Linked DNA regions of Neurospora crassa OR74A. The protein of the gene in region 1 purifies or fractionates together with the protein of each later gene. This does not show direct contact. Links are inferred from orthologs where the notes say so. Each region holds a gene or a part of one and is shown in the gene's direction. Other genes may lie near its edges.

What was found. The genes of interacting proteins can lie anywhere in the genome.
Region 2: the proteins of NCU07393 (region 1) and pod-5 purify together in Saccharomyces cerevisiae (affinity purification with mass spectrometry; 3 studies listed by BioGRID). This does not show direct contact. The link is inferred for Neurospora crassa OR74A from reciprocal best matches to the Saccharomyces cerevisiae genes NOP14 and UTP13.
Region 3: the proteins of NCU07393 (region 1) and NCU07041 purify together in Saccharomyces cerevisiae (affinity purification with mass spectrometry; 6 studies listed by BioGRID). This does not show direct contact. The link is inferred for Neurospora crassa OR74A from reciprocal best matches to the Saccharomyces cerevisiae genes NOP14 and KRR1.
Region 4: the proteins of NCU07393 (region 1) and NCU01675 purify together in Saccharomyces cerevisiae (affinity purification with mass spectrometry; 3 studies listed by BioGRID). This does not show direct contact. The link is inferred for Neurospora crassa OR74A from reciprocal best matches to the Saccharomyces cerevisiae genes NOP14 and RRP12.

Annotation. Positions count from the first base shown.
Region 1 is NC_026501.1:6,084,990-6,091,527, forward strand, and holds the start of NCU07393 (rRNA maturation protein), read left to right. Parts: upstream 1-2,706; 5' UTR 2,707-2,809; coding exon 2,810-3,109; intron 3,110-3,168; coding exon 3,169-3,615; intron 3,616-3,673; coding exon 3,674-5,662; 3' UTR 5,663-6,538. Other genes in the region: NCU07395 (DNA-binding protein SMUBP-2), read right to left, coding at 1-366; NCU07394 (hypothetical protein), read right to left, coding at 917-1,554, 1,608-1,980. UniProt on the Saccharomyces cerevisiae protein: Involved in nucleolar processing of pre-18S ribosomal RNA. Has a role in the nuclear export of 40S pre-ribosomal subunit to the cytoplasm.
Region 2 is NC_026505.1:1,894,939-1,898,871, forward strand, and holds the start of pod-5 (polarity defective-5), read left to right. Parts: upstream 1-1,133; 5' UTR 1,134-1,226; coding exon 1,227-3,933. Other genes in the region: NCU03627 (hypothetical protein), read right to left, coding at 1-611, 668-700. UniProt on the Saccharomyces cerevisiae protein: Involved in nucleolar processing of pre-18S ribosomal RNA.
Region 3 is NC_026504.1:4,998,493-5,002,193, forward strand, and holds NCU07041 (90S preribosome/SSU processome component KRR1), read left to right. Parts: upstream 1-1,427; 5' UTR 1,428-1,606; coding exon 1,607-1,861; intron 1,862-1,919; coding exon 1,920-2,269; intron 2,270-2,336; coding exon 2,337-2,694; 3' UTR 2,695-3,201; downstream 3,202-3,701. Other genes in the region: NCU07042 (alcohol dehydrogenase), read left to right, coding at 3,349-3,407, 3,539-3,701. UniProt on the Saccharomyces cerevisiae protein: Required for 40S ribosome biogenesis. Involved in nucleolar processing of pre-18S ribosomal RNA and ribosome assembly. Essential for vegetative growth.
Region 4 is NC_026502.1:2,739,631-2,743,911, reverse strand, and holds the start of NCU01675 (90S preribosome component RRP12), read left to right. Parts: upstream 1-1,481; 5' UTR 1,482-1,577; coding exon 1,578-1,649; intron 1,650-1,791; coding exon 1,792-4,281. Other genes in the region: NCU01674 (alpha-soluble NSF attachment protein), read left to right, coding at 58-181, 270-576, 650-1,064. UniProt on the Saccharomyces cerevisiae protein: In association with GSP1, required for nuclear export of both pre-40S and pre-60S ribosomal subunits. Required for the late maturation of the 18S and 5.8S rRNA of the pre-40S ribosomes and for maturation of the 25S and 5.8S rRNA of the pre-60S ribosomes.

The DNA of each region.
Region 1 (6,538 bases):
CTTTGCGCTCCCAGCCGGCTGCTCAGACACTACCACGATATCGCCCGTCCGAATTCCATGTTCTGGTAATTCCGGTCCATCATAGCCCCCACCCTTCTGGCCTGACGATGAAGAAGAAGAAGAAGAAGTGATAGTAACAGTAGCAGAATCGGGCCCGAGTTCCAACACGGTCTTTCCGCCATAGCCGGTCCGCTGGGCATTGACGACTAGGTTGGTCAGGGCCAGGCCGGCGCGCTGCAGGGCGGTGGGCGTGTGCAGCCCGATGAGCTCGGAGTTCTCAGCGATTTCGGCGGCGAGCTCGGAGGAGAGGAGGGTGAGTTGGGTGGAGGCGAAGGAGGGGATGTCGACTGTCTGTGAGGGAGCCATGCTGGTGAGTGGGTGGATGGAAAGAGTGGTGAGGCTCTTGAAATCCGGACACGAGCGGGGCCGGGAGAAGGGACTGTGGAAATGACAGAAGGCCGCGCCGCCGTTCGGTTACAGTGACTCTGTGCGTCGTTTGGCGGGTGATGGTGTATTATGCTAGACGTGTGATCGTTGGAAAAGGCGCAAAGCCCACAGTTCAGGTTGCGGTTTGGTTCAATTGAATCGCAAAATTCATGTGAGCATATTGCAGTGGTTTGTTGTCTTGACGTATTGTTCCTTTCTTGTTAGTGATTTTGGTGGAGTTGCTCGCGAACTGTTAACGATTGAACCCAACGATGCATCTAACCGTGTATTATTCGTTTTGTAAGAGAGCAAACACCTTCATATCCGCCAAAACAAAGGTCATTCTGGATGATTAATACAATTGCTACTCAACCAAACTCAATCTTTCTTATTCTCATTTTGATCTTCCTTATGCGTCCCCGTATTCCTAACACAGAACAAAGCACAAAGCGATGGTAACAATTCCTGTAGTAGTTACTGAGCCGCTCCTCTAAGACTGACCAGGCTCTCCCAAAACCCGCCATTCCGTGTCACGGTGAATAATATCGTCCCTGCCAATCGGCCTAGTCCCATCGTTCACCACAATAGCCTCGCGATTCCGATGTCTAATCCGCTGCTCCTCGGCGCTCGTCTCCTGCGCCCGCGGGGTCCTACCCATGTTAATAGAGAGCAGGAGGTTATAGCGCTCGCCGCTTGTGTCCATGAGGTTCAGGTTATCGGCCTGCTCAGCCGCGAAGTCGTCAGCCCCCTCTTGGGACATGAGACCACATCTGACCAGCACCGACCTTCCCGATCCAGTTTTGCGCACCGCATCCGCAAGCCTCTTGATCTTGTTGTCCCTGTACAGCATATAGTTGTGGAAGTTGCGCTGTCTGTCTTCCTCAGTCCTGCCCCAATTTTGCCTGGATAGCCAACGCTCAACGAACTTGGAGCGGATCAGCATCTCTGGCCCGTAATGATCGACCAGCTGCTCAAGAAAGATGAAGCACATTTTTTCGGTGATATCCCTCAATGGATAATCGTCCCATCCATCATTCTCGAGAACCTCCTGCTCCGGGTCGAGGGAGAGCTCGAGGCACCGGACTATGGCGGAGTATGCTTTCCAAGTGTGAAGCATGGGGAGAACTCCTTGAAGCCGTGTTAGTGAGTTGGAAACTTTCAAGCAGTGTTGAGATACTCACGAGGGACGCAGATGACAGCCAGAGCCCTCAAGTTCTTGACACGCTCGTCATAATCTGGACGGGTGATGCCCCAGAGCAACGTCTCCAGGAGGCCGGGGTCATTTGCAGCCCTATCACAGATTATCTTGGCAGCCGTCTCCTTGATGGCGTAGTTGTAGTGGCCCAGCAAGGTGTCCAGCGTCTTGAGCTCGAGCGAGTCCTCGGTCTGCTGCGTGATGTACTGCGTCTTTGGCGGATTGGGGGTGACAATGGTCTCGTCTCGCCATCTTGTTAGCCAGGTGTTCATGGCGAAGATGATCAAGCTCGCCGTGACGAAGCCAATGCCGGTGAAGACGACCCTCTCATCTCGGAGAACCGACGATTGCCAGCCCATAATAACGGTATGGTGATGAAAGATGATGCTTCAGCATAGGTAGTTTGACTTTTATGTGTTGTTTTCTTTTTCTTTTCATCACATCGCGACTTTGAGATTGAGACGGAACACTGAAAAAAACCAAAAATAAAAAAATAAAAAAACCATGAGCAGCCCGAGGATGACGATGGAGAGCTTCACTTCTGGTCAGTGGAGTGACACCCGCTGTAGAGCGGGACAGTCTATCCAGGTCCCAAATTTCCCACCCTAAGCATTTAGTCAAGCATGTATCCCAAGACCTTTGTACTTAACAATACATTCAACTTTTTGGATCCTCCACCAAGAAAATTGGGAATTCTTTTATCTTTGCAAGTCAAATACTGCTGGGAAACTCCTTTTCGCAACTCAGCTGGCCCAAAAGGGGGCTTTTTGGGTGAAATGCTGCATCCTGGGTTGCAGAGCACATTTGGTCGAGTGACATGTCTTGAGAACAAAAGAAGTCTGTGCACTTCCTTAAAAGGGTAAGTTTTTGGGACCTGGATAGCATCGCCCGTAGAGCTTCGTCTTTTAGCAGCTACAGTGCAGCACGGGCAGGCCAGGATGCTTCTGCTGCCCGCGCCTGTGGACAATACTACTTGTATGTAGGTAGGTAACTGCCAAGATTTTAGAGGTGGAGCATGACGATAAGATAAGCACCCTTCATCACCAAAATTTCTGAGAAGGAACCAACCGCCAAAGACAACCTATTGATTGCTGGTCTTGCGATCGAACCCGCTTCGCGACGCCCTCCCTCCCTCTTTCTTTCTCAATACTCCCCTGTCAAGTCGACAGTCGAGACATCTCAACAAACATGGCCGGGTCTCAGCTCAAGAGGCTGAAGGCCTCCCTCAAGGACCAAGGCATCATCGGTCCCCAGAGATCCAAGAAGCAAAAGCGCCAAAACGCCCAGGACGCGAAGGCTTCCACCGACAAGCGACTCCAGCGCCACGAAGCTCTCGCCAGCATCAGAGAGCAGTTCAACCCCTTCCAGTTCAAGACCAACGCCAGAGGACCCAAGTTCGAGGTCACCACCAACAAGCCCCAAAATGATAAACTCGCCAAGGGCATTCAGGGCCGCCCCGGCGTTGCGAAGGCCACCGCTGAGCAGAGGGTTTGTCGATCCCACTCAGATCGATTTACTGGTTCTGATGCTAACTGTGCCATAAACAGCGACGGGAAACTCTACTGGTTGAAATGCAGAGGCGCAACAAGGTCGGCGGCATTGTCGATAGGCGTTTTGGCGAGGACGACCCCAACATGACCCTGGAGGACAAGATGATGGAACGTTTCGCGCGCGAGCAGATGAAGAGCCACAAGAAGAACACCGTCTTCGATTTGGAGGGTTCCGATGACGAGCAAGAACAGGTCACCCTTACACACGCTGGCAAGACTCTCTTTGACGACGACGACATTGAGGCGGGTCGTGACGATTTTGACGAGGACGTTTCCGATATGGAATCCGACGATGAGCGGTCAGCCAGAAAGAAGTTCCTCAAGCGCCTGCGCGCTGAGGAAGAGGCCGCGGAAGGTGAAGGAGAGGATGGACAACCGGAGAGGAAGAAGACGAAGAAGGAAGTTATGGAGGAGGTTATCGCCAAGTCAAAGGCCTTCAAATACGTAAGGGGCACCGCTAAGCCGGCTACTTCCACTCATCAGCTAACAGTAATTGCTACAGGAACGACAAGCAGCCAAGGAGGAGGACGACGATCTAAGAGTGGAACTTGACAAGGAACTCCCAGAATTGCAGTCCCTACTCTTCCAGATGAGACCGAAGGAAACGAAGGACCCCAAGGGCCCCTCCGTTATGGCAGGAATCGACATGGACCAACTTGAGAAGGAATACAACATGCGTCTCAAGCAGGCAGCGCGTGAAGCCAGGGCCGAGGTTACCGACAGGACAAAGACCGACGAGGAGAAGGCGGAGGAAGGAGTTAAGCGTCTCAAAGAGATGGAGGAAAAGCGACTCAGGCGCATGCGGGGTGAGATCGTCTCGGATGACGAGGAGGAGGAGGAGGAGGAGCAGAAGAAGGGCAGGAAGAAGGGAGACGACCAAGAGGTACAAGACGAGGCCGACGAGGACGAATTCGGCCTCGGCAAGGGTATCAAGCTACGAATGACCGCCACCGAGATGGGTCTGGACGACGAAGACGATTTCTTGCTCGAAGACGACCTTATCGCAAGCGGCTCTGAGTTGGATATGGACGAGGACGACATGTCGGACATGGACGGGAGTGATGACGAGGATGCCTATGATCCTGATGAGGACGAGCTTGTGAATGGTGGTGAGGACGGCGAGTCGAAGGAGGTGGCCACAAAACTTCAAGCTCAGTCAAAAGGCGGCGACGAGGACGGCATACCCTATACCTTTACATGTCCCGAGAGTCACGAGCAGCTGCTGGAGATCTTGGGCAGCCTTCCCGTGGCCAAACTTCCAGTGGCTGTCCAGAGGATCAGAGCTCTTTACCACCCCAAGCTGGACGCGAAGAACAAGGAGCGCCTTGGAAACTTCTCCCGGGCCCTCATCGAGCATATCGCTTACCTTGGCGACAACTTCGAGCCCACCTGGTTCCCTACCATTGAGAACTTGATCCGCCACGTCCACTCACTCGCGAAGACCTTCCCGATCGAGATATCCAAGGCTTACAGGTCACGGCTTGAGGAGATTAAGGAGGATCGGCCCCTTGCCCTTAGCGTCGGCGACCTTATGCTTCTGACAGCGATTGGCACAACCTACCCTACTTCTGATCACTTCCATCAGGTGGTCACCCCTGCGATGCTTTCCATCACCCGTTATTTGGGACAGAAAATTCCCCAGACACTCGCCGACTACTCCATTGGTGCTTACCTTTCGATCCTCGCCCTTCAGTACCAATCCTTCTCCAAGCGTTACGTACCAGAATTTGTCAACTTCTGCCTCAACACTCTCTGCTCGCTCGCTGCTGAGAAGCCCAAGGAAAAGCTTGGTCTGTTCCCCGTTCACGAGCCCGCTGCTGGCATCCGTGTCAAGGGTGCAAGCAAGGTGACCGTCAGGAAGCTCAACTGCGGTGACTGCCAGCAGCCCAAGAGCGCTCGCTCCACCAGCGACGACTCCGCTCTGAAGGTTGCCATTATCAGCACCATCACCTCCGTTCTCAGGACTGCTTCCGAAACATGGTGCAAACTCCCCGCATTCTACGAGACCTTCCAGCCCGCCCAGCGCGTGCTCCAACACCTGACAACCAAGTCCAACGCCGCCCAGCTCCCTGCAGCCCTCGTCAAGCAGCTTAAGGACGCAACGACAAGCATCTCCCGCCTCCTCCAGCTCGCCCAGGTTTCCCGCAGGCCACTCGAGCTGCACCACCACAAGCCGCTCGCCATTAAGACGTACGTGCCCAAGTTTGAGGATTCGTTTGACCCCAACAAGCACTACGACCCAGACCGCGAGCGCGCCGAGCTGGCCAAGCTGCGGGCCGAACACAAGAAGGAGCGCAAGGGCGCACTCAGGGAGCTCCGCAAGGACGCGGCCTTCATGCAGCGCGAGAACCTCAAGGTCAAGAAGGCCAAGGACGAGGCGTACGAGAAGAAGTACAAGCGCTTGGTGGCGGAGATCCAGGGATCGGAAGGCCAGGCGGCGAACGAGTACGCAAGGGAGAAGGCGGCGAGGCTCAAGAAGAACAAGAGGTAAATGGCTACTTCTTAGAAGGTTCGGGGGTAGCAGTCGGAGTAAGTTTGTGGTTGGCCGTGTTGTTGTTAGTGCCGTTGTTGTTGCTGTCATGTATACATCATCATCAGCGTTCAGTGCAAGTGCAATATTTGGATCATGGGTTGGAGATACCATGTCTATCATATCATCTACTAGTAGGAGTTTTAAGATCATTTCATCATTTGCCAACCCTCAGTACGTACATTATCTACTCCTGATGTTGTTTACATGTGATGTTTACCCAACCCACCAATTTCATCATGGTACTCATCCCTACCTGGAACTTTCAACACTTCAACGAAACTATGTAATTCCGGTTATCGCTATTGATGGCGGAGCCTCATCTGAAGAAAAAGAAAAGAAAAAGCAAACAACAAATAACAAGAAAATGACTGAAGACAAGGAAACACAGCAGTATGGAGTTGCCCTTCGGTCGGCGTGTCCGTCCCGCGGCTATAATTCAAACAATGCCGTTCTTCAATCACTTCCCCCCCTCGTGCCACCCATACTGTACCTCCAGCGCTGGCCCAACGACTAACTACATAGTTAGTTACGACTTACGAACAATATATAAGCGACCTAAACAACTAACAACCGCCGCACGTTATCGTATAACAATATCACTGGACCCCGAAAACCCCTAACCAGCGAAATCGGCGAGAAAGTATTTCCCAGGTACTCAGGTCCCGGGCGGATGCTTGATCAGTATGTATTTTGCCCAGTCTGAACTTTGTAAACTTTCAAAGACAATCCACATCTCTTTGTGGTGGTTTCTAGACGCTATAGGCGCCGTAGACGATGGTGTTGTGTTCATCGGGGAAGTCGGGCACTCTACGACTCTTTTCATTCTTCTCTCTT
Region 2 (3,933 bases), on another chromosome or scaffold:
ATTGGGGAGTCATTGCAGCCTGGAATGAAGAAACCAAGGGTGGGAACCCATCTCGAGGTGTTCACAAGGCCGGTTCGTTGCATGAAGACGAAGATCTCTAGGTGTAAGTTGACCCAGGAGAACACGTACTTGACCCATGGGTATTCTGGCATGTCGAATCCAGCAAAACTATCGCTCAGGACATACGATGGCAGCCCGGCCCAGAGGTACTCTCCCCATGACTGCTGGCGCCTGTGAAAGTGAAATAGACGAGAAAAGGGAACATGGGCGTAGTCCTTGTACAGCAAGATACGCTGCCTCAAGCCGTTGACTCCCCAGACTCCGACGGTGGCCAAGACCTCGCCGGTGAGGAACAGCTTCCTCCCAATTCCATCTTCGTAGTACTGGTGCTTGGTGGCGGCTTCGTATAGAGCTTGGGCCTCGTTGATGCCACTGTCCGGTTCGGCAACGCCGATGACCAGCATAACCTCGTTGTGAGAGCGGATGATGTCTCTGTTGATGCGCCGTGTCTCTGGATTCACTGGTCGTCCTCGGTCATCATACAACTGCTCTGGGGCCCCGGGTTGGGGCTCGCCAGTGCCCTCAACTACCTCATCGTAGGGAGACCGGCCCTGTCCTTAGTGTCAGAACGAAGTTGTAGCCCGAAAGTCTTGCAACGATGACTTACAAGGGCCTGTGATGTCAGTGGGCCCAACCGCATCGTGAAAGGGTCAACTGGATTCAGGAGGTGTTTGTAGATTACTATCCGGCATTGCCAAGATGTTTATGTGTACATTACACGGTGAAATTTGACCAGTCAGTGGCCATCCTCGTGTAACAAACTAGGTCCTGTGCCAGAGATTGTGTTATGGTGAAGATAGTGGTGGTATAGCTGATGAGTGATGGAGACTGGAACAGACAGTTGACGTTGGTGGGGGCGATTGGGGAGCACAGAAAGCCGAGGGAGGGTCATGCTCCAGTTGCTCCAGTGCTCCAGCGTGGTTCGTCACGGATTCCTACAGGGGTTGGATCTGCATGGCGCTAAGATAACCTTATTGCCTGGCCTTATCAGCGGGCGGCAGGCAGCGACCCGCGAAAAGTTTTTGGGATTGGGGACTTTGCAGTGTACCACCCTACACTTGACGTTCTAACAGCAGAACCCCAAAGGCGGCGGCGCGCAATCGCAACCCTCCTTGCCTCTCTGTTTGATTTAATCCACTTGTACAGCCAGACACTCCGTCACCACAATGGCGTACAGGCAAACCACCACCAAGACGACCTTCGAGGTCAACAATGTCATCCAGCCCATTTTCACAGGAGGTTCCGTAGCCCTCGACAATGGCGCTAGGATCCTCGCGACCACCCTCGGCGAGCAGGCCGTCCTCACAGAGCTCAACACCGGCAAGCAGCTCGCCGAGATCGAGGGCGACGGAGAGCCCATCTCGACCCTCACCATCACCCCTTCGGCCTCCCACCTGATTGTCTGCTCTCGTTCTCTTACTATGCGCATATACTCCCTCAAGGTCTCACCAGATTACGATTCCATCGAAGCCACCCTTGTACGCACCACGAAGCCCCACGCCACCCCCGTCGTGGTTCTCGCGGTCGACCGAACTAGCACCCTTCTTGCCACCGGTGCTGCCGACGGCGCCATCAAGATCTGGGACATTGTCGGAGGATACGTTACCCATACCGTTAGCGGCCCGAGTGTCCTTATTTCTGCCCTCCACTTCTTCGAGATTGCCGCTCTCGAGGACCAAGCCAGCAACAAGAACAAGAAGAACAGGCGAAAGAGCACAGCCGAGGAGGAGCAAGCTCAGGATGACAGCGTCGCTTCAAAGTTCCGTCTTGCCTACGGCACACAGGACGGCAAGATCCGCATCTTTGACCTCAGCAAACGCAAGACCTACCCCGTTTACGCCGACCCGACTTCGAGGAGAGAAGCGCACGAGTCCAACGTACAAAGCCTTGACTACTCACCAGAACTACATGCCCTTCTCAGCGGTAGCAGAGATAAGACAATGACAGTATGGCTGTGGAAGGAGGGGACATGGAGGGGAACACCCATGTTGCGCCATGAAGGCGTTGAAGCTGTCGGCTTCCTCAACAACGGAAGCTTGATGTATTCGGCTGGAACAAGTGGCCTACTTAGGCTATGGGACACAACCACACACCAAGAAATCACAGCAAAGCAAGACGCCAAGTCGGAAGCCGAGTCGATAGTGTCAGCCCTTGCTCTTCCCCACAAGAACCTTGTTGTTTGCGCCCAGTCTGACTTCACCCTCGCCCTCTACCGCACACCTTCGGTCGCCGATGCCACCAAGAAGTCGACGAAGCCTCTGGAACCCTTCAGGCGCATCTCGGGAACACACGACGAAATTCTCGACCTTGTTTACCTTTTGCCCGATCAGTCTCTCATGGCTCTTGCAACCAACTCCGAAGATATCAGACTTGTATCCGTGGCGGATAAGCAGCCCCAGCTGGGCGACGAGGAGGAGGGCGCGGCATACTTTGGCCATGACGTAGCTCTACTCAAGGGACACGAGGATATTGTCATGTCTCTCGATGTAGACTGGTCTGGCCACTGGGTTGCTAGTGGTGCCAAGGATAACACAGCTCGCCTCTGGAGGGTTGACCCAGCCAATAACTCGTTCGAGTGCTATGCAGTCTTCACTGGCCACATCGAGTCTGTCGGCGCTGTCGCACTCCCCAAGATCGTACCTCCCGAGAACTCGGAGGCGTTCAAGAACCCCCTCGACCACCCGCCCGCATTCCTCATTTCCGGTTCCCAGGATCGGTTCGTTCAGAAGCGTGACATTCCCCGAACATCACAAAAGGGAGCCGTCTCAACCAGTCTCCGTCGCTTAGCCCACGAGAAGGATATCAACGCTCTCGACATCAGCCCCAACGGAAAGCTTTTTGCCTCGGCATCACAAGACAAGACGGTCAAGATCTGGGATTCCGCAACATTAGAAGTCGTAGGTATCCTCAAGGGTCACCGCAGGGGTGTCTGGACGGTTCGGTTCGCGCCTCAGGGCATGCCTGCCATTCAAGGCGAGACCGGCACTGCTGTTTCCGGTAAGGGTGTAATCTTGACGGGTTCTGGTGACAAGACCATCAAGCTCTGGAACCTCTCGGACTACACCTGTCTGCGCACATTCGAGGGCCACTCCCATAACGTCCTCAAGGTTGTTTGGCTGCGCCTTCCCAAGGCCGCTGACGACGCTGAAGACGAGGCTGCTGCTGCCGCCTCCAAGGCCAAGCAGCGCATCCAGTTCGCCTCTGCGGGCGCCGACTCCCTCGTCAAGGTCTGGGACGCCAACCTTGGTGAGACCGAGTGCACGCTCGATAACCACGAAGACCGTCTCTGGACGCTCACGGTGCACCCCAAGACCAATATGCTTGTGTCTGGTGGTTCCGACTCCCGCGTAACCTTCTGGAAGGACACTTCGGCTGAGACCCATGCCGCCGCGTCCTCGGCCGCCCTCAAGCTCGTCGAGCAGGAGCAGCAGCTCGAGAACTACATCCACGCCGGCGCCTACCGTGACGCTATCATTCTGGCGCTGCAGCTCAACCACCCCGGTCGTCTCCTGGGTATCTTCACTAACGTGGTCACTACCAACGCCCCCGAAGAGGGCTCTCTCTGCGGTATCAAGGCCGTCGATCAGGTGCTTGGTAACCTCTCCGACGAGCAGATTTTCCTGCTCCTGCTGAGGCTGCGCGACTGGAACACCAATGCGCGCACGGCGCCCGTGGCGCAGCGCATCCTCTGGGCGCTCGTCCGACTCTACCCTGCCAACAAGTTCTCCAACCTGTCGGTCAAGGGCGCAAGGGGACAGAAGAGTCTGAAGGAGGTGCTCAACGCGTTGAGGGTGTATACTGAGAGGCACTATAAGCGCATAGAAGAGCTGGTGGATGAAAGTTACCTTGTTGAGTATACTTTGCAGGAAATGG
Region 3 (3,701 bases), on another chromosome or scaffold:
GATATTGCGGATGAATAAGGGGAAGAAGGCCCGGAGATCGAGTCGAAGCCAGCTTGACTTTCACGGCGGTTGAAGGCGGCGTCGGTGCCAATTGACCCACTCGTGGTGGATGCGAGCGAGACCGTGGGCCCGTGACCGGGATTGCCAACTTCGGGATCGAGACTGCGCAGGCGGAGGGAGGTGCGGGTGTGTGGTGGTCGAGGTCAACGTCCCAGAAATGACGTCTGTGCTTATGATGAATTCGATTTGTTTCTTTTCCTTTTCTCTTCTTCTCAAGGATAGACAACGACAATTGCCGTCGATCTTGGCAAAGGTCACAAGAAGCAGCGATACCTGAAGGTCTTGGGGTTCGGGATAAAGACCGACGCCAGGGATACGAAGGGGAAATCGAAGGGAGTAGTGTAGAATGTCGCGGGGCCGAAGAAGAAAAAGAAGGGGAAGATGTTGCAGGGACGGAAGGAGTTCTGATTCTTGGCGACACAAAACCGAACCTACCCCTTTCTGACGGAAAACGTTGATGGATTTCGAAACCTCGTGCACGGAATGCTGTAATCCGTGGCGTACCACAGTGCAGATTGTGCTTGCCCGATCATGATGACCACAGCGCGCCAGGGTCGTCAGATCTTTGCAGGTTCTCATTGGGCGAACCTGGGATGATTTCTTGGTTCTTCAGCTGGAAAACCAACGACGAACGTTATCCAGCCTTACCGCGACTTTATCACGGCGAACCTGAAAATTGCTGCTGTTAAGTTCGTCAACTTTGACTCGGGCGGGATTCGATGCTTCACCATCAATTACTTCAGCGTATCTTGAACACCTTGGTGAGATTTTACCGACGGTACAGGTGTCAACAATGGCCCTGCTGGGAGTATACAAATCACGTTGAGACCCCAGCAAGTCAAAACGCTCTTGTCGCCAATCCCACCATGGCATATCAAGACCTTTTGATGTCGCCAGCACGTGTGATTTCTTGTTGATGTTCCGTGCCGTGCCGTGCAAGCCCCTGTCATGATAAGCTAGTATGTAGATAAGATAACATCTACAACCTGGGGGGAAAAAACAGCTGAAAGGAGCAGATGGCCAAGAGTACTTGGATAGACTCGTTGCGAAGTACAGCAGGACAGTAATGACAGAACCAAACTTCCACCTCGCTGAGATTTGAAATAACTGAATCCGGTCGTTTTCTTATATTTGCTCCTTTTTTATGCTGTTGTCGTCCTCAATGAAAATACCAGGTTCCAAAAGTTACAACTTCCATGCAAGTGGAAGTTCCAGTTATCAGATAAGGAGCTGCCCCTGCATCTGCCAGCTGGCCGCTGATCCTGTCGCGCTTCTGCAGCCGGAACTCAACCTGCAAGAAGCGCCGCGCCCCCACTCTTACCAGCTGCGGCAGGCTTGTGTTCCAAAAATTTCCATCCGTGCAGCGCGATTCGGCTGGCCATCTTGCCATACAATCCCTTCAACAAGCCATTTATCAAATCCAACCACCAGACCCAAGTCGCTCGCCCTGATATCGTGACCTGTCGCACAACCTCAATCGAGACCTCTGATTATTCATAAACATCAACAGCCCACAAGAGCCCCGAGAAACACATTTACAGCCAAAATGCCGTCCACACACAAGAAGGAGAAGCCGTGGGATACAGACGACATCGACAAGTGGAAGGTCGACCCTTTCACCAAGGACGAATCCTCCGGCCCCTTCCTCGAGGAGTCTTCGTTTATGACCCTATTCCCCAAGTACCGCGAGCGTTATCTACGAGACTCGTGGCCACTCATCACCAAGGCCCTCGACAAGCACGGCATCACCGCAGTTCTCGATTTGGTGGAGGGTTCCATGACAGTGAAGACGACAAGAAAGGTACGGCGGATGCGTTTGTTGTCTTTATAGTCACCACTCTTTGCTAACTCACGTCCAGACATATGACCCCGCAGCTATTCTTAACGCCCGCGATCTCATCAAGTTGCTCGCCCGTTCAGTACCAGCCCCACAAGCGATCAAAATTCTCGAAGATGGCATGGCCTGCGACATCATCAAGATCCGCAGCATGGTACGGAACAAGGAGCGTTTTGTTAAGAGGCGCCAAAGAATTCTCGGACAGAACGGCACAACGCTCAAGGCTCTCGAGCTTCTCACACAAACATATATCCTCGTGCACGGAAACACAGTGTCGGTAATGGGTCCTTTCAAGGGTCTGAAGGAGGTGAGGAGGGTTGTTGAGGACACCATGAACAACGTTCACCCAATTTACATGATTAAGGAGTTGATGTAAGTTTTGCGCCTGCACGCCCACTTGCGACGCCCCACAACAACAATAACTGACATGAGAAAACAGGATCAAACGCGAACTCGCAAAGGACCCCGCTCTTGCCCACGAAGACTGGTCTCGTTACCTCCCCAACTTCAAGAAGCGCACGCTTTCCAAGCGCCGCGTCCCCCACGTCGTCAACGACAAGACCAAGAAGAACTATACACCCTTCCCCCCTGCGCCCGAGAAGAGCAAGGTGGATCTCCAGATCGAGTCCGGCGAATACTTTCTCGGCAAGGAGGCCAAGCAGCGGGTGGCGGAGCAGGAGCGCGCAGAGAAGGCCAAGCAGAAGAAGGAGGAGAAGAAGCGCGAGCGCGAGAAGGAGTATGTGCCGCCCGAGGAGTTGACGGACAAGAAGGCCAAGAAGAGGAAGACGAGCGACTAAGCTGGTACAAGTGGTGCAATCCAAAATATGGGGGCGGTGGAGGTGGAAATGGAGTTGAGGAAGACGATGATGAAGAGAAAGAGAAAGGATCCTGGAATCCCATGATACCCATACTTCAGCAGACGATTGAGATTTCTCCTGCTTCGGGATCCAAGGGTGATCTGGTTGCTAAATTTCACCAAAAGCCTTTGTCAAATGTGTTATCAAAAACAATGACTTGTCCAGAAAAGATGTCGGTTCTTGAATCTGTCGACATTTCGAAACCCAAGGCCGAAACAAAACCCGATGACGATCGCGAATAAAGCCCGATGTGGCAGACCCGCACCACAACCGGGCTGCTCCACCCCGGCGGATCGCAAACCAGGGGCATCACAAGGCGGGCCGAGGCAGTTGCATCATTGGAGCGGGATCCGGCAACGAATGCGGGGGAGAGTGGGGGCGGCCATTGGTCGGTGGCAGGGTTGGTGGGAGAGGCTCAATGACAGAGTGACAACACCCCTTTCCCCGGGTCCAATTGATAACAAATCTGGCCGATGTCGCAACTGATTTAAACTTGATGACCCTTTCCTTCTTTCACTTCTTGAACATACTTCAACACTCATCCAGTGGATTGGCCTCGGTAAAACACAACCCACACATAAACACAACGCCAAGATGCCTCTCCAACTCACTGTCAAGAAAATTGACGGTAAACCCGGCCAGGTTTACTACCCGTAAGTGTTTTGTTCTTCCTCTTCACATAACCTCACCTTTCTTCTCCCCCATACATATCCCCATCACCACCACCAACCAACTCACTCCCACCATCCTCCCCGCATGACTAACCCTCGGCCTCCCCATCTAGCCTCCAACTAAACACCATCCCCAAACCAACCCCCGGCCCCGGCGAGCTTCTCATCCGCCTCCGGTCCTGCGCCCTCAACCACCGCGACCTCTTCATCCGCCAACACCTCTACCCCGGCATCTCCTTCGAGCAACCTTTTCTCGCTGACGGCTACGGCGTCGTC
Region 4 (4,281 bases), on another chromosome or scaffold:
TCCTGGCACCTCCTGACACTTTCGCGACACCTTGCTGATGCCGAATGCGAACACCAGGCAGAGAAGACCCTCGCGAGCGCGTCCAAAGGCTGGGGTCTGTTCGGAAACAAGGAAGACAAGTACCAAAATGCGGCGGATCAGTACATACAAGCGGCCAACGCTTTCAGGTTGCAGAAGTCAAGTACGTCATCACAATCATCAACACCCACGATGCGCTTTCGGGCCATATGAACCTCGCGGCAAGTCCTAACGTTCTGCCCACTACCCAGACACCGAGGCCGGCAAGTGTTTCGAGGAAGCTGCCAAGATCTTCACTGAGAAGTTGAAGGAGCCCAACGATGCGGCGAATGCCATGTTGGACGCCTTCAAGGTCTATAGGAAAGATGCCCCGGATAATGCTGTGCGCTGCGTCGAGGTTGCCATCAAGCAGTATACCATGGCGGGGAACTTCCGGAGAGCTGCGTCGCACAAGGAGAACCAGGCTGAGGTCTACGAAAACGAGCTGCAGAATAAGCCAGAGGCTATCAAGGCCTATACAACTGCGGCCGAGTGGTATGAGAACGACGGTGCTGTCGCGTAAGTGATTAATGCCCACGGCTTTTGCGCCATGTTACGAGTCCAACAGGTCGTTCTAACCAGCTGTGTGTAGTCTTGCGAACAAGCTGTGGCTCAAGGTGGCCGACCTCTCTGCCCTCGCGGGCGACTTTTTCGCCGCTATAGAGAAGTTCGAGAAGGTTGCGGAGGCTTCACTCGGCAACAACCTGATGAGGTACTCGGTCAAGGAGTACTTCCTCAAGGCCGGTCTCTGCTCCTTGGCGACCAAGGATATGGTCACTGCTCAGCGTAACATCACCAAGTATGCCGAGAAGGACCCATCATTTACGGGCCAGCGCGAATACCAACTCCTGGTTGACTTGTTGGAAGCAGCCTCAAACAACAACCTCGAGATGTTCCAGGATAAGCTTGCCGCGTACGATAAGATGAGCCGGCTCGATGACTGGAAGGCGGCTGTTCTTCTCCAGATCAAGAACAACTTTGAGGAGGCAGACAACGAGTTTTCATAAACAGGGTGGAGGAACTTGTGATATACAGCCATTTATCACTTTCTGGTTTCCTTCTTTCCTTTTTCTTTTCTTTGTTATCGTACCGGCGTTTTCTGGTTGGGAGGGGGATGAACTGTCATATCATGAATACGGTCATCGACGCTTTGGTGATTTACGGAAGACCCAAACAAACCTGCTGTCTGGGGTAGAGATGGGCTTAAAGCAATAGAAACTTGTTCCTAGTGGGTACGCGTTGTTCGTACGATCCAACATGAATTGTTGTATCTCATAACCTTGATGGCTGCCCAAGCGAAACATAGGTACCTCTATAAGCATGAGATGCCATAGCTAACCCTGGAGTTACAGTTGGGAGCCGCTTCGGACTAGCGCCAGACCCTTATCAATGACAGCGGGTGGGGCGTGCGCGCCGATAAGCGACAACTTTTCGAACTTTTCTGTTCTTCATGACATCGATTTCAGCACTGCGAAGCGGCTTGCATTGTCCCACTCCAGCGCCATTCCATCACATTCACGATGGCTTCTTCTCCGTCTTTGCAGGAGAAACTGGACAAGATTCGGTCTCCGAATCTCCAGAGCCAGAAGCAGGTAAGCCAGAGTCATGATGCATCTCTCCTTTTTCCATCTTTTGTCTTCTGCATCCCTACCCTCTTCCTTCCAGCCTGCCATTGCAGTGGCCTGTCGCAAGGCCGCCTCCATCGTGGACAATGGACCCTGACTTGAGCCACAGACTGCCAGTGTCCTCGAGGCTATCGAGGCCACCTTCAAGGAGCGCAATACACCCGCGACTCCTACCGCCTACTTCGCTGCCCTTCTCAGTCTACTCAACAACGAAAACCTCGCGACCCCCGTCGTCTACCTCCTCGATGTCGTCACTCCCTTCGCTCCAAAGCCTATTCTTCAGGCCAAGTTCACTCAGATCATCACCATCCTCGCGCCAGTACTATCCCTCCCCGATGCCGATGCTCCCCTCATGAGGGCCTCGATCGGCTCTCTCGAGAGCTTGCTCCTTGCTCAAGATGCGACACAGTGGGAGCTCGGTACCGCCCAGATTGGCCCCCGCCGGGCTGTGGCCGGCCTCCTCGCCCTTGCCCTCGACCCGCGTCCCAAAGTCCGCAAGAGAGCCCAGGAAGCGCTCAGGAACATCCTGAAGAACCCTCCGCCGAGCCCGTCTCTCGACCACCCCGCCGCCCCCATGTGCGCCGAGACAGCCATGCAGAGCCTCCGTCTTGTCGCTGACAAGGCCGCCGCCCAGAGGAAGGAAAAGAAGACTACCGACTCTACCCACGATCCCGAGCTTATCCACGCCTTGCAACTCGTCAAGGCTGTCGCCTCTGGAAGCGGTGGCTGGCCCAGCAAGAGCATTGAGTCTTTGTGCGAGCTCCTTCTCAGCATTGCCCGGACGGGCAACGAGCACATGAGCATGGCTGTCTTCGAGATCTTCGAGATGATGTTCGAGGGCATGGCCGCCGACGAGGTTGCCTCCGCCAAGCTTCCTCGGCTGCTCGAGATCATCAGAGAGCTCCGTCCCGCGCCCAACGATACCCAGCTTCTCCCTCCCTGGATCGCCATTCTGTCGAGAGCCTACGATGTTGCCGGTCAGATTTCGCCCGCCGAGACCTTCCAAGAGCTGGTCGATCCTTTCACTCTGGTTGCAGGATACCTCGAGTCCCAGCACAAGAATATTCGCGTTTCGGCGTCCGAGTGCTTGGTCTCCTTCCTGGCCAACTGTGTCCCCAAGGAGGCCATCCTTGAGCCTTCGATTTTTGACGAGAAGGTCATTCAGCAACTAGTCAAGGTTGTCGAGGGCCTTCTCACCGTCCAGTACCAAGCTGCCTGGATGGAGACTTTCAACGTTCTTGGTGCCATGTTCGATGCCTTTCGGTGGCAGGCTAACCCTTACCTCCTTTCCGTCGTCAAGAGCATCGGCGAAATCCGCGGTAACGATTCTTTCGCTGGAAAGCAGGAAGCCGACGAGGTCCTTGGCAAGGCGATTCGTGCAATGGGTCCTGAGGCGGTCTTGAATGTTCTTCCCCTGAACCTCGCGAAGCCCGTCAAGGGTCAGCCTGGCAGAGCTTGGATGCTTCCTCTTCTCCGTGACTACACCTCCAACACCAATCTTGCACACTTCAAGAGCGAATTGGTTCCTCTCAGTGCTATCATGTTCCAGCGTGTGATTGAGCACCAGGGCGAGAAGAACATTCACATCAAGATTTTCGAGACTGTTGTTCAGCAAATTTGGTCGATTCTTCCCGGCTACTGCGACCTTCCACTTGATCTTGTCGAGGCCTTTGACACAGGCTTCGCTGAGATGTTGACCAACCTTTTGTATGAGCAGGTTGACCTGCGCTTGGATATTTGTCGCGCCCTCAGGACCGTTGTTGAGTCCAACCAGGCCATCGCCACTTCCGATGAGGTCGATGACCTCATTCTCTTTGGCAGGGTCAGCAAGGAGCAGGCGCAGAAGAACTTGGAGTACCTCGGAGCCACCTTTGCAGCTGATTTCCTCGCTGTTCTCTTCAACGTCTACAGCACCACTCTCCCCCAGAAGCGCGGCCCTGTCCTCCAGACCATCAACGCCTACCTCAGCATCATCCCTCCCGCGCGTCTTACCGAGACTTTCGACATGGTGTGCGAGAAGCTCGCCGAGGCTCTTCAAGAGGCTGTTGAGAAGAAGCCCCAACAACAGCAGAAGGCCGATCACATGCCTTCTGCCGCGCACACTCTCATGGACCTGGTCGTTACCATGTCTATCTACCTCCCCCGTGCCAGCTTCGAGGCTCTTTTTAAGATCGCTTCAGTGGTCATCTTCAAGGATGATGACCCTCAGCTGCAGAAGAAGGCTTACAAGCTCATTCCTCGCTTGGCGGATTCCCCCATCGGCAAGGCCGCCCTCGAGGAGAGACATGGCGAGCTCCAAACCCTGTTCCTGTCCAGCTCTGAGAAGGTGTCGGCACCTGCCCGGAGAGAGCGCCTGGCTGCCATTGCTGCTCTGATTCACTTCATCCCCAACGATTCCCTGCACTTCATTCCCTCCATTCTTTCAGAGGTTGTCATTGGCTGCAAGGAGCACAACGAGAAGGCTCGCACTACCGCCTTCGACCTTCTGGTTCTCCTTGGCCAGAAGATGGTTTCTGCTCAGGGCTCTTTGATCGATAACAGCAAGGTCCCTCACATGCCCGCGGATGCTCCTGCGGCTACCGCCTCTATTGAGGAGTTC